Linked DNA regions of Cricetulus griseus. The protein of the gene in region 1 interacts with the protein of each later gene in a biochemical or structural test. Links are inferred from orthologs where the notes say so. Each region holds a gene or a part of one and is shown in the gene's direction. Other genes may lie near its edges.

What was found.
Region 2: the proteins of nucleophosmin (region 1) and Hmga2 interact in far-western blotting, tested with the Homo sapiens proteins (2 studies listed by BioGRID). The link is inferred for Cricetulus griseus from reciprocal best matches to the Homo sapiens genes NPM1 and HMGA2.
Region 3: the proteins of nucleophosmin (region 1) and Gadd45a form a complex in vitro, tested with the Homo sapiens proteins (2 studies listed by BioGRID). The link is inferred for Cricetulus griseus from reciprocal best matches to the Homo sapiens genes NPM1 and GADD45A.

What each region holds. Positions count from the first base shown.
Region 1 is NC_048600.1:48,346,918-48,350,666, reverse strand, and holds the start of nucleophosmin, read left to right. Parts: upstream 1-1,402; 5' UTR 1,403-1,518; coding exon 1,519-1,576; intron 1,577-3,035; coding exon 3,036-3,115; intron 3,116-3,518; coding exon 3,519-3,638; intron 3,639-3,749. UniProt on the Homo sapiens protein: Involved in diverse cellular processes such as ribosome biogenesis, centrosome duplication, protein chaperoning, histone assembly, cell proliferation, and regulation of tumor suppressors p53/TP53 and ARF.
Region 2 is NW_023276806.1:136,301,250-136,304,998, forward strand, and holds the start of Hmga2 (high mobility group protein HMGI-C), read left to right. Parts: upstream 1-1,027; 5' UTR 1,028-1,169; coding exon 1,170-1,289; intron 1,290-1,388; coding exon 1,389-1,475; intron 1,476-3,749.
Region 3 is NC_048601.1:76,185,348-76,189,096, forward strand, and holds the start of Gadd45a (growth arrest and DNA damage-inducible protein GADD45 alpha), read left to right. Parts: upstream 1-1,503; 5' UTR 1,504-1,672; coding exon 1,673-1,716; intron 1,717-1,800; coding exon 1,801-1,902; intron 1,903-1,997; exon of another isoform or gene 1,998-2,017; coding exon 2,018-2,255; intron 2,256-3,157; coding exon 3,158-3,271; 3' UTR 3,272-3,749. UniProt on the Homo sapiens protein: In T-cells, functions as a regulator of p38 MAPKs by inhibiting p88 phosphorylation and activity.

The sequences.
Region 1 (3,749 bases):
GTGTTTAAATGATCCAGAATCTAGGAAACAATGAAGTAGTTTTTTGACCCGCCCTGGCTCTAAGAACATTCTCCCTCCTAGACTAGAAGCCTTCGAATTTTGAATGGCCAGACTGCTCACTTGTGGTTTTCCCTTTTCCCGTTTATCTCAGTTGCTTACATAGACAGTACTTCCAAGTTTCAGGATTTACTCTAGTAGTTGTAAAGTGGAAATTCACTGGGCCCCATTCACATCTTGAGGCTGATTTTTTCCCCCCCAAATTTAGGATTTGGTTAATAATCTGCTCATACGTTTTATACTCAACTGGTCTTCCCAATTGGACCATCTCTGGAGTAAAGAGTCTGGGGGCATGAATACCATTACTCACATTCCTCCCAGTAACCTTTTCATTTGCTAGCTATGTTGAGATAAAAAGATTAGGGCTGCTCTCAGTACGCACCCAATGTTGAGGGATGTTTGTCGGGACGCAGTTTAAAATGCTATTTCCCAGCCAAAGATTCTAATCAAGGCTCCTGTATTTCTTAGAAGTCATATGCCTTCATTTGGAATGATAAGGATGACCTGCGTGTTCTCAATTCTGCACACACCTCTAAACTTTTAGAAAGGTGCTCTTTGGCCCTCGAATGACGTAAAGCTGAGAACTTAAGACTTTGGAGATGCTGCCTCAGAAAAGAGGTATAAAAAGTATGGCTGATGCCGGGCGGTGGTGACGAATGCCTTTAATCGCAACACTCGGGAGGCAGAGACAGGCGGATCCCTGGGAGTTTGAACCCAGCCTGTGAGTTCCAGGACAACCAGGGCTGTTACAGAGAAACCCTGTGTGGAAAAACCACAAAAAAAAAAAAAAAAAAAAAAAAAAAGGCTGACAAAGTGGCAAGCAGAGAATCATTCTACTAATGATCCGTCTGTCCTGCCTTTGGCTCCTGAAGCTCTATGGGAAAAGGATAAAATAAGACCAAGCCTTCGAGGAGGTCAAATCCTGAGATTATGCCTGTTGCAGGTCTACCGAGAACCGGAGGGCGAAGAACAGCGAAGGGAGTCGCCCGCTGGTTCCCGGCCGGCAGTCGCCATCTTTTAGGGTGGGCTGCGCAGCCTCTCCGCGCAGGGCCCGCGTGGAGAAGCCGAAACGTGGTAGCTTCGGAGGGCTGGAGCGCGTTACAAAGGGAAAGTGCGCCTGCGCTCGGGCAACCGCGCTGGAGGGGCGGGGCCAGAGGGAGGACGCGCGTGCGTAGTGCGAGCCCGCCAAGCACCTGGAAGAGGTGGGGAGGGGAGGTAGAGAGGCGTGGGATAGGACAGCGCTTGCGCAAGAGCGAGACAGTGCGGGAAGTGGGGGATCCGGAGCACGCTCGCGGAGGCGGGACTAGGGCAGATCTCGCGAGATTTGCTGCGGCCATATATACGTGCGGCGAGCCCGCGTCCTTTCCCTGGCGTGATTCCGTCCTGCTTGTCTGTTCTGAGGAGCAGTAGGCAGTTTCCTCCGTCCGATATCTCGCATACCGAAGTGCGCGTCTCCACCTCATGGAAGACTCGATGGACATGGACATGAGCCCTCTTAGGCCACAGAACTACCTTTTCGGTAACTGCCTGGCGGGGAGGGCCTGGGCAGGGCCTGGTGGTTGGGGGGGCGGCGGGAGTCCAGTTGAGGCCTGGCGTGTGCCAAGCGCGGCGTGGGTGGAGGCCTTTGCACGGCTGGGAGGAACCGCCTGGGCCGCGGGAGCCGAAGAAAGCCGAGGCCCGGGCGCTGAGCGGGACCGTAGCTTGGGGCGGCAGCGGCCCAGCCTCGAGCCTCTGGCGTTGAGAGGGCGGTCGGCCGAGGGTGCCAACTTGGCTTGGGGCGCGAGCAGGGGCTGTGACGACACTTTCTCTTCATACGTGAAGAAGGCCTCAGGACCTGGCAACAGGCAGCTGAAATTCAGCGCTGGGCCCCAGGCGCGTCCCGGGATAATGGTGCCTCTGGAGCGCGGCCTGCGCCGCCTCGTTGGGACGGTATAAGTGCAGTCCGCTGGGCTTTACAGGGGCTTCGGCCCCTCCTCCCCGTGCATCCGAGAGGTTCCGCCGCTGACAGGGACTCGGCCGGCCAAGCTCCCTGCGGCTGAGGGGGCCGCAACCCCTGGGAACACGTGGTTGCCACGTGGTTGGGGGTAGGGAGGGGGTGTGGGCTCTACATCCGGGCTCTCCTCACTTCTTAACCCTGGTCCTTCGGGTCCTGTGGTTTAATTAGGAGTGCTAGGCGGGAAACGCGTAAAGTGGCGCGTGGCGTCCGTGTCTTTGTTAAGATCTTGTAGCATCCACGGTGATGGTAGTGACTTTTTTTTAGAGACCCTTTAGTGCCTCTGCAAGAGGTGGAGTCAGCCCCACGCTGCCGATGACGATATTGATGGTCGAAGGGTCTTGATGTTAAGAGAGGGCCACGAAATCTTAAGTCGAAACTATCCTTTTCCCTACAACTGGTCTTTTTTTTTTGATTGGGCCGGGGAAGAGAGAGAAGTGCCTCCCGCGTTTAGCAGATTAAGGGATCACTTTGGTAACTCGGCTTCTGGGGACCCCACTGTCACTGCACATTCAGCTTATCGGTTTTACAGTCTATTAGTTTGGTTTTCAGTGACTCGAGTCAATTTTTTCAAAATTCCGAGTGTTTAAAGCACTTTCCCCTACGTGAATGAGTAGTACATGTTTAATGTACTCTAAGCATGAAGGGTTTAAGCTGTCCCTACTGGTCATGTGTAACCACTGTTGATTTGTAGTAATTTCCTTTAGAACGTAGGTAAGTTGGGTTTTTTAAAAATAGTGCTAGATAATGGTATGGTGCCACTATGCAAAAATCCAGTTTTAGGTCATTGGGTTTTCTGTGAAAAAATGGTAACGGTGCCTCATTAATTGGTCGTGAGTTACTATGAAAAAGTAGAACTTTTATTGGCTTTCTTATACAGTAGATTCCACGGAGAGAACATTTTTAAGTTAAAAGAGTAGAAGTTAATGGTCGTTTGGGACTGTGATGTTCATCTTGCTAGATTTATTTTATTTTTTCTTTACAGGTTGTGAACTAAAAGCTGACAAAGATTATCACTTTAAGGTGGATAATGATGAGAATGAACACCAGTTGTCACTAAGAACGGTACTTAAACTTTGAAATTAATTAGCCATTAGATTTCAGCCACTTGGATCTAAGTGAGGGGATTTATGTCAGTTTGTGCTTCCTTAACTGATGGAAAAATAGTATTTTTATAACTTTAAAATAGTTCACATATGTACTGGTAACAAAGAACTGGGTGTCTTTTCCACAGTCACTGTTATAATTAGTTGTCTAGTAAGGCTCTGCAGGATGTGATCTTTTTAAGTCTGTTGGCTATATTTTATTGGTTGTTTGGCTTTCTTAGGAACATACAGTGTTTTGTGTCTATGCATCTCGTAATTATATGAGAGGACTAGTTATCAGTAGTGAGAAGAGGCTAATTAAAAAATTTAAGGGGTGTTTATAAAACAACTGGGTACTGAAGGATCTTTCTTTTTGTTCACAGGTTAGTTTAGGGGCAGGGGCAAAAGATGAATTACACATCGTAGAGGCAGAAGCAATGAACTATGAAGGCAGTCCAATTAAAGTAACGCTGGCAACATTGAAAATGTCCGTACAACCAACAGTAAGTACATTTGTAAACATTGTTTTTAAAGTTGGTCTCTAAGACTGATTTAGGATAAGCAAAGATGTTTCAAATAAGTTATATCTAGTGTGAGATTATCTCTGTGGCTTC
Region 2 (3,749 bases), on another chromosome or scaffold:
TTTCCCGCTCTGCCCTTGGCGACACTTCACTGTGCCTTTGGACTCTGTTTTACACCTCCCAGGAAGTCCCCGCTCTACCTTCTTGCTTCCCACCATCTACCCAGCTTTTTGGAATTCTACTAATCGCACCTCCCCCCAGTTTAAAAAAAAAAAAAAGTCTAAAAGAAAACGCAAGGGGATCCGGAGGTGACTGGGAGTTTTTACCTTTGAGTAAAGGCCGAGCTCACAAAGAAAAATGTGTTTCCGATGTGTTTGCTCTAAGTGCCCACTGGCGCGAGTATCTAATGGACGCTTCCAAGAAACCTTCCCCCACGCTAAGTAGAATGCGAGCTTCCATTGAGAAGTTCCGTGAATTGTAATTAGTCTCATTTAAGCACGCAATATGAATGAAATGAGAGTAGATGATTCACCGGAGAGATGTTCGGCATCCCCGGAGTATCAATCATCACATTTTCTTAACTGCTTGAGTATTGGCTATTTAGCCTAGCACCCAATAAAGGAAAGCGGTGATGTACCTGGTGACCTGGCCAGTTCAATTTCTCCTTCCAGGTACATTCCTCACCCATCTCCCCCCTTTTATTTCCACTGCACCCCACGAAACTTTTTTCTTTTTCTTTCTTTCTTTCTTTCTTTCTTTCTTTCTTTCTTTCTTTCTTTCTACCCTCTAACGCAACATGTTTATTTTTTAAAAAAGATATTTAAATTTCGACTGGAGACTATGCCTGCCTCTCAAAAGGAAGTGGAGAATTGAAGCAATTATCTAGTTAATTCAAGCAAAACCTCCCACCTCAGATCTACCATAATTATTGGGAAATTTTAGGGGGTATGGAATTATTCCGAGCTGAAGAGTTTGGATAATCGCTCCAATACTGCACTCGGAATGTGTGGGTTCAATTCTAAAGCACCTGAAACAGGTATAGAGAAGTGATTGGAAGCCATCCCTTCCGTGTATCCAGCTATCTTTCCAGCTCTCTATGACGTTGGGTTCTGTTGTTTGAAATCCCAGTAGAATGGTAGTGGTAGTCCTATAAAATGTTTATTATTTCTGTGAGTTGCCAAGTGCACAGCCATGTAAACTTTGTACCTTGCAAACATGGGACTTTCTAGAAAATTGCAACTCCTCCAGGTTTCGCTATTATTTTGATTTCAAAATATAATCTCGTTTTCACATGCAAAGTAGTTTTCTCCTTGAGCACATGAGACTATGGTTATGTCCCTCCCACCCTCCACTTGTGCAAACGCTGTGCCACCATCATCCAACTATGCATGAACTGAATGACTTCCAGCAGGTTTGTTAAGCGGCCCAGGCAGAAAACACAGGCAGAGCCAGGGTCATTCTCTTTCTGCCGGTCTAGCCACAACAGCTTTTCTTTCCTCCCTCCAATTAGGAGCCAACCTGTGAGCCCTCTCCCAAGAGACCCAGGGGAAGACCCAAAGGCAGCAAGAACAAGAGTCCTTCTAAAGCAGCCCAGAAGGTGAGAATTTTCGAGTGAAGTTCTTGTAATGTTACCAATGACCTCCCTGCAATTCTCCCGTTCTATACCCACATTCCAGGACTGGTCCAGATGAGCTGAATAACCTAAGACATCACTCCTGCTAGATGGGTCCTAACCTTTTTTCTTCTTTTTTTTTTTTATTTTCTTTTCCATGTTGACGCTTACTTTAAAAGTTTCCAGGAGATACAGTGATTTCAGACAAACAAAAAAGCCATGAAAGAATATAAATCTTAAGGGGGGGGAGGGTGAGAGGGGCTGTGGAGGAAGGGCTGGGTGGGACAGGGATGGAAATGATATCATTAATATTTATATCCGTGGTAAACTGGTTCATAATAAATCAAAGTTAGATATTTTGACTGGTGATGAGATGACTGTAATTTCCTCTGGAAAAAATATAATTGAGATTAATTTATTCAGGACTTGTTTGCATGTTGACTAGAAGTCAAGTCTCCCTGTTAGAGTTAAGTGCTTTGTCACATAGATGGTAATTAAAAAAGGAAATCCAATTATGGGTTACTGAAAAAAAAAGTTTCATGAATTATACAGCTTTAAATGTGATAAAGTATACTGTCTGGACAAACCTGCAAGATAATATTGTCCTAATCGAAAGGTTTCCCCACCAATGTTATGCTTTCAAACAATGAGAAGTTTTAAAAACAAATGATTGTCTTATTTCATAGTGTGTGTGTGTGTGTGTGTGTGTGTGTGTGTGTGTGGTGTGATAGAATCCAATTAAGTTCAACATTCACTTTTTTAAAAACAGATTTTAATTTGAACCTTTAAAATAATTTCATGTTGGTTTTGTGTGGTAGCAAAGAGGAGGTACCCCACAGTAAATGCCTGTATAGAGAAGCAATGAAGAATATATGCCACTTTTTGGTCTTATACATAAAATTGGAAATAGTTTGCATCTTATTTGTAAATGTGTCTTGTAGTTGAAACTAATAGTTCAAACATTAGAAATACATCCTCATTCAATAGATTTAAATATACAGCATTTGTTTAAAATGACTCTTTGTTCATCTTTAGGGGATTAGTATTCTGTTTTTGTTTTTTTGTTTTGTTTTGTTTTTTTGTTTTTTGTTTTTTGTTTTTTTTTTTTTCTGTGGAGTGTAGCCACTAACCACATTATATGTAATGGTTCTCAGTGGTGTATCCTGTCATAGCAACTAGTGATGTATAAAAGCCACGTAGGAAGTCATTAGGACTTCTGGCTGTTTTATTTTAAAAGTTTTGAACAGAGTTGAAAGAGCAGATTTCTCTTACTTTTGAATTAACTGCATTTTAAAGTTCAGGTTTGCAGTAAGTATTTAACCAGTTAACACTCAAGTGTTCCTGAATAACCTTGTTATTTAAGTAATAATACCAAGCTGGTGTTCTTACTATGAGTGCTTTCTCTGCCTTTTGTTTATAAATGAACTAAAATGGACTTAAAAACAAAACAAACTAACAACCAGCATTATTCTGTGTTGTATGCCTGTGATACTTTTGCTCTCAGGGGCAGCATAGGAATGTCTTGGTAGGCATCAGCAGATATGTAAAATATGTAAAAGATGCCTCATCATAATATTATTTAAGGACTCTTTAAAGCTCACCATAAATAAATGCTTTGAAAGATAATGTAAAAAGGAAGGTGTTTGTTACTGTGTGACACTTTCACTTGAATGAATAGGTAGAAATTGTTCCATCATGGTCTTTATACTTTACAAAGTATTTCATACAAAATTCATCATGGACTGAGAGTATCTTAATGGACAAAAGGAAAGTTAAGACTTGTGTCTGATTTAACATATAAAGCAAGAACAAAACAAAAAAAAAGCTTTTCCATTTCCAAGTATGTTTGGTTCTAGCCATAGGAATCTACAGATGGTCCTACTAGGCTGCCCTCTTCCTGTAATTCTTGTATATACACATACTTGTGTAATTACTAAAATACAAATACCCACCCCCAAGATTTTTTCTGAACTCTTTCTTTCTGCAAGGTATATTATTTCATACAATTCTATTACAAATGTTCCCTTTTTAATAAAAGCAAATAAATACATTAGCTTAGAACATGACTATTATTTCTCTCCAGTTTTATAAACTGTGCTTCCCTTAGAGACCATGATGGTGGGGACACATGGATAAGTCATTCCTGGAATGGGTAAAAATGAAAGAGTTTCACTTTCAAATCAGTTTTTATGGAGGGTATTCCTATGCCTTTATACACACTTAGGCTATTAATTGTGTATTGTCTTCTTATAAGGCTTA
Region 3 (3,749 bases), on another chromosome or scaffold:
GAAACTCTTTAACAAGCACATCCCATGTAAAGATTTAAAGTACAGGTATGAGGTACACTAACGCCCTAGGGTGAACCATACACTGACACTCGTTCCTTTACTCAACATTGCTTCTCCGTGACAAAGCCCTTAGGGAATGAATACAAAGTCTATCTCCAATAAATGAACTAGAAAACCAACCTATCACTTTTCCATTAAGAGCAAGGAAATTGGAAAATATTTTGTCCACAAGAGAAAAATTGAAGGATGCAAAATTCATATGTACCCCTGCAAAATTTACTTCTGCTAACTATTAGCTGCACAGTGACCTCAAAATAAGCACTGTTATGAATTCAAACAGATGAGAGGCAATTTTGTTACTTCAGTTGGATCAGGCAATGCTTTTGTATTTATCAAATAAGCTCATAAAACAAAGGGACTTTTGAAGTACTCAGTAAAAGTCTACATTAAAAATTGTTTTTAATGTGTGACTCCTGCTTGCAGTTATGAAGGTTTGCCTTCCACCTACAAGTTGCCATTATCTCAAAGGTGAAATTTTAGCACATGGCTAAAATGTTCTATAGTTACAGCTTCATGATTCAGCATCAGTAATTCAGAGTGAGATCATAGGCAGTGGAAGGTGGTGTCATACTCTTTTGCCTGTGAAGGGGCGACCAGGGAATGGCATAAGCATATTGAATTTAGACTGTGGCTCCTGTGAGTACCACAATTTGTCTCTCAGCTCTTGCCTGATCAGAAGGTGCCCTCGGGAAAGATTTTAAGAATGGTAAATTTGGCTCATTAGGCATGTTGATCACCAGCTCCCCCCACCCACCTTATATGGAGTGGGCAGAAGTTTTATCAGCTTTTCGTGGAAAAGATTCCAACTTGGTACCGTGCCATCACCACACACCAGTGTGCTGGGTTTTCTATTTGGAGCTTCAAATTCTTGCACCCAACCAAAAATAAATCAAGCCAGCCATCAGGGCACCAAAAGAATACTACTGTGAAAAATCAGCATTGCCTGAAACTTAACATATAAACAACACTTCTGAAGCAAGTTTTGCGTGGCACATCCGGACACTTTAAAAATACCATCTGCTTACTAATAACAGCTACACCAGGGTGCATTAACCCTGGAAATAAATTGTAAAATCAGCCCCTTAACACAAACAACACGAGACGACCATCAAAAGATCTCCACAACTAGAAAAACAATTGGCAGGCTGTTTTCAGTACGAGCTGAGGACACTGGAACCACCGCAAAGCCCTCCTCACCAGATGGCTCCACCAACTCCCAGAGCTGGCTCAGGACCCCGCCAACCCGGTTTCTGCACCACTCTCATCCCTGGGGGCTTCCCTCCCGCGTAGCTCCGCCCCCTTCCGCTCAACTCTGCCTGGGCTGGTGGAGTTAGGGTCTGAGTGTCAAAGTCTGCTAATTTGCATAAGCCAATGGGTGCATTGCATGCAAATGAGGCGGGCCCTGATTGGCTGACGGCTAGCCCCATAACTCCGGAATCGGGGGCCTTTGTCCTCCAGTGGCCCGGAGGAAGCTGTGCAGTCCTCACCTACCGAGACTTAGGCGAGAAGCGGCGAAGCGGCGGGTGGGAGCCGAGCGAGCGCGGGGCTGGCGCCGCGCACTGGGGGGGGCAGGAGCAGCCCGCGCGCCGCGTGAGGGACTCGCACTTGCAATATGACTTTGGAGGAATTCTCGGCCGCAGAGCAGAAGACCGAAAGGTAAGTGTGCCTGCGGACTCTGTGGCCGCTGCCCCTCCCGCCGTCGGGGACCCGGCTGACCCACTCTCGCCCTGCCGCCCGCAGGATGGACACGGTGGGAGATGCCCTGGAGGAAGTGCTCAGCAAGGCGCGGAGTCAGCGCACCATCACCGTCGGCGTGTACGAGGCCGCCAAGTTGCTCAATGTGTAAGTGGTCCCGGCCGCCCGCGCCCCTGCCTCCCGCCCGCCCCCCCGCCCGCCGCCCGCCTCTACCCCGAGCTCCCTGGACAGTGTGCACTCACCGCTGCCCCGCTGTCCGCAGCGACCCCGACAACGTGGTACTGTGCCTGCTGGCTGCAGACGAGGACGACGACAGGGACGTGGCTCTGCAGATCCATTTTACCCTCATCCAGGCGTTCTGCTGCGAGAACGACATCAACATCCTGCGGGTCAGCAACCCGGGCCGGCTGGCTGAGCTGCTGCTGCTGGAGAGCGACGCGGGCCCGGCGGAGAGCGGGGGTGCCTCGCAGCCCCCTGACCTGCACTGCGTGCTGGTGACGGTAAGGGACCCGGGGCTGCAGCCCGGAATCTGTTGGGATAGACCTCGGCAGTGCTAGACGCTGATCTCGCGGGGGTTCTGATGGTACCGAGCGTGTCTAAGCTCGTGGGTGGCCTCCAGCGGCGGAAGATAGCCCTGTGAGTCAGCAGGCTGCCCAGCTACCTCTGCCTACCTCTGCACTACCTCGCGTGACTAATTCTCAGAGCAGGACAGATTAGATAAAGCCAAATAAATTCCCGGCTCACCCTTCATTAAGAAGTCAGCTTCATTCTTCATTTGCTCTCAAAGCTAAATATAGAAATAGAGTAGGAGACAGACCTTATTAATTCGCTGGAGATACTCTGGTGTGTACAGAGTGGAATTCTTTTCTCTGAACCTTTGTATTTGTTTAGATGAGCCCCCCCCCCCACGCACACACACACACAAACACACGCCCTTTAAAAATTTCTGGTTGAATAATGTTTTCAGAGAGAAATGTGCTGTCTTGGTCTTCTGTTTTTTTGTTTTTGTCCTTTCTCTGCCTTGACTGGTGTAGGCAAGTGGCACCCTGATTACTTTTGCTGCCAGTGAAAAGTGCCATTCATCACCAGGGAAGATAAGAGTGAAGCTAAGCTGCCTGCCCTGCAGCTTTCACATGGTGTGCGAGAATGTTTTCAGAGCTATTTTACTTATGACCCTACTAGGGTGCATGCTTGATAGGTTCAACTTATGAATGATAACCTCATGCAGAATGGTACAGATAATTATGCAAAACTCTGTGGCCCAGTGTGCATTACAGGTGTTTAGATCTTGCCAAATGCTACTTAACAGAATGCTCAGGTTTTGGCCCTTTCAAAAGTAGTACAATTAGTAGCATAAGCTGATGATTTTATGGAAAAGTAATTTTTCTAAATTTGTTCTTAGAACCCACATTCATCACAGTGGAAGGATCCTGCCTTAAGTCAACTTATTTGCTTTTGTCGGGAAAGTCGCTACATGGATCAGTGGGTTCCAGTGATTAATCTCCCCGAACGGTGATGGCATCTCAATGGAAATAACTGAACCAAATTGCACTGAAGTTTTGAAATACCTTTGTAGTTACTCAAGCAGTTACTCCCTACGCTGATGCAAGGATTACAGAAACTGATGTCAAGGGGCTGAGTGAGTTCAACTACATGGGGGCTAGGAGATGACTTTGCAGATGGACAGAGGTGAAAATAAAGAAGGAAGCTGTGTTGAAACAGAAATCTAAGTCAAAAGGGACAAAAACTACAAAGAACTGTGCAAGAAAGAAAACTGTTGATTTAGGATGGCTGAGTTACATTAAATAAGCCAAATATTGCTTTGTTGAAACCTTAAATGTGTAGCAATAGTTTGTTTTTTTTTTGTATTTGTTTTTTGGTTTTTTTGTTTGTTTGTTTTTTGATCTTTATGCCCTCAAGTAAAAGGAAAGTGAAAAGGATTAATTGTATTTTAAAGCTACAGGTTAATGTATTTTGATGAGATGTTAAATTCT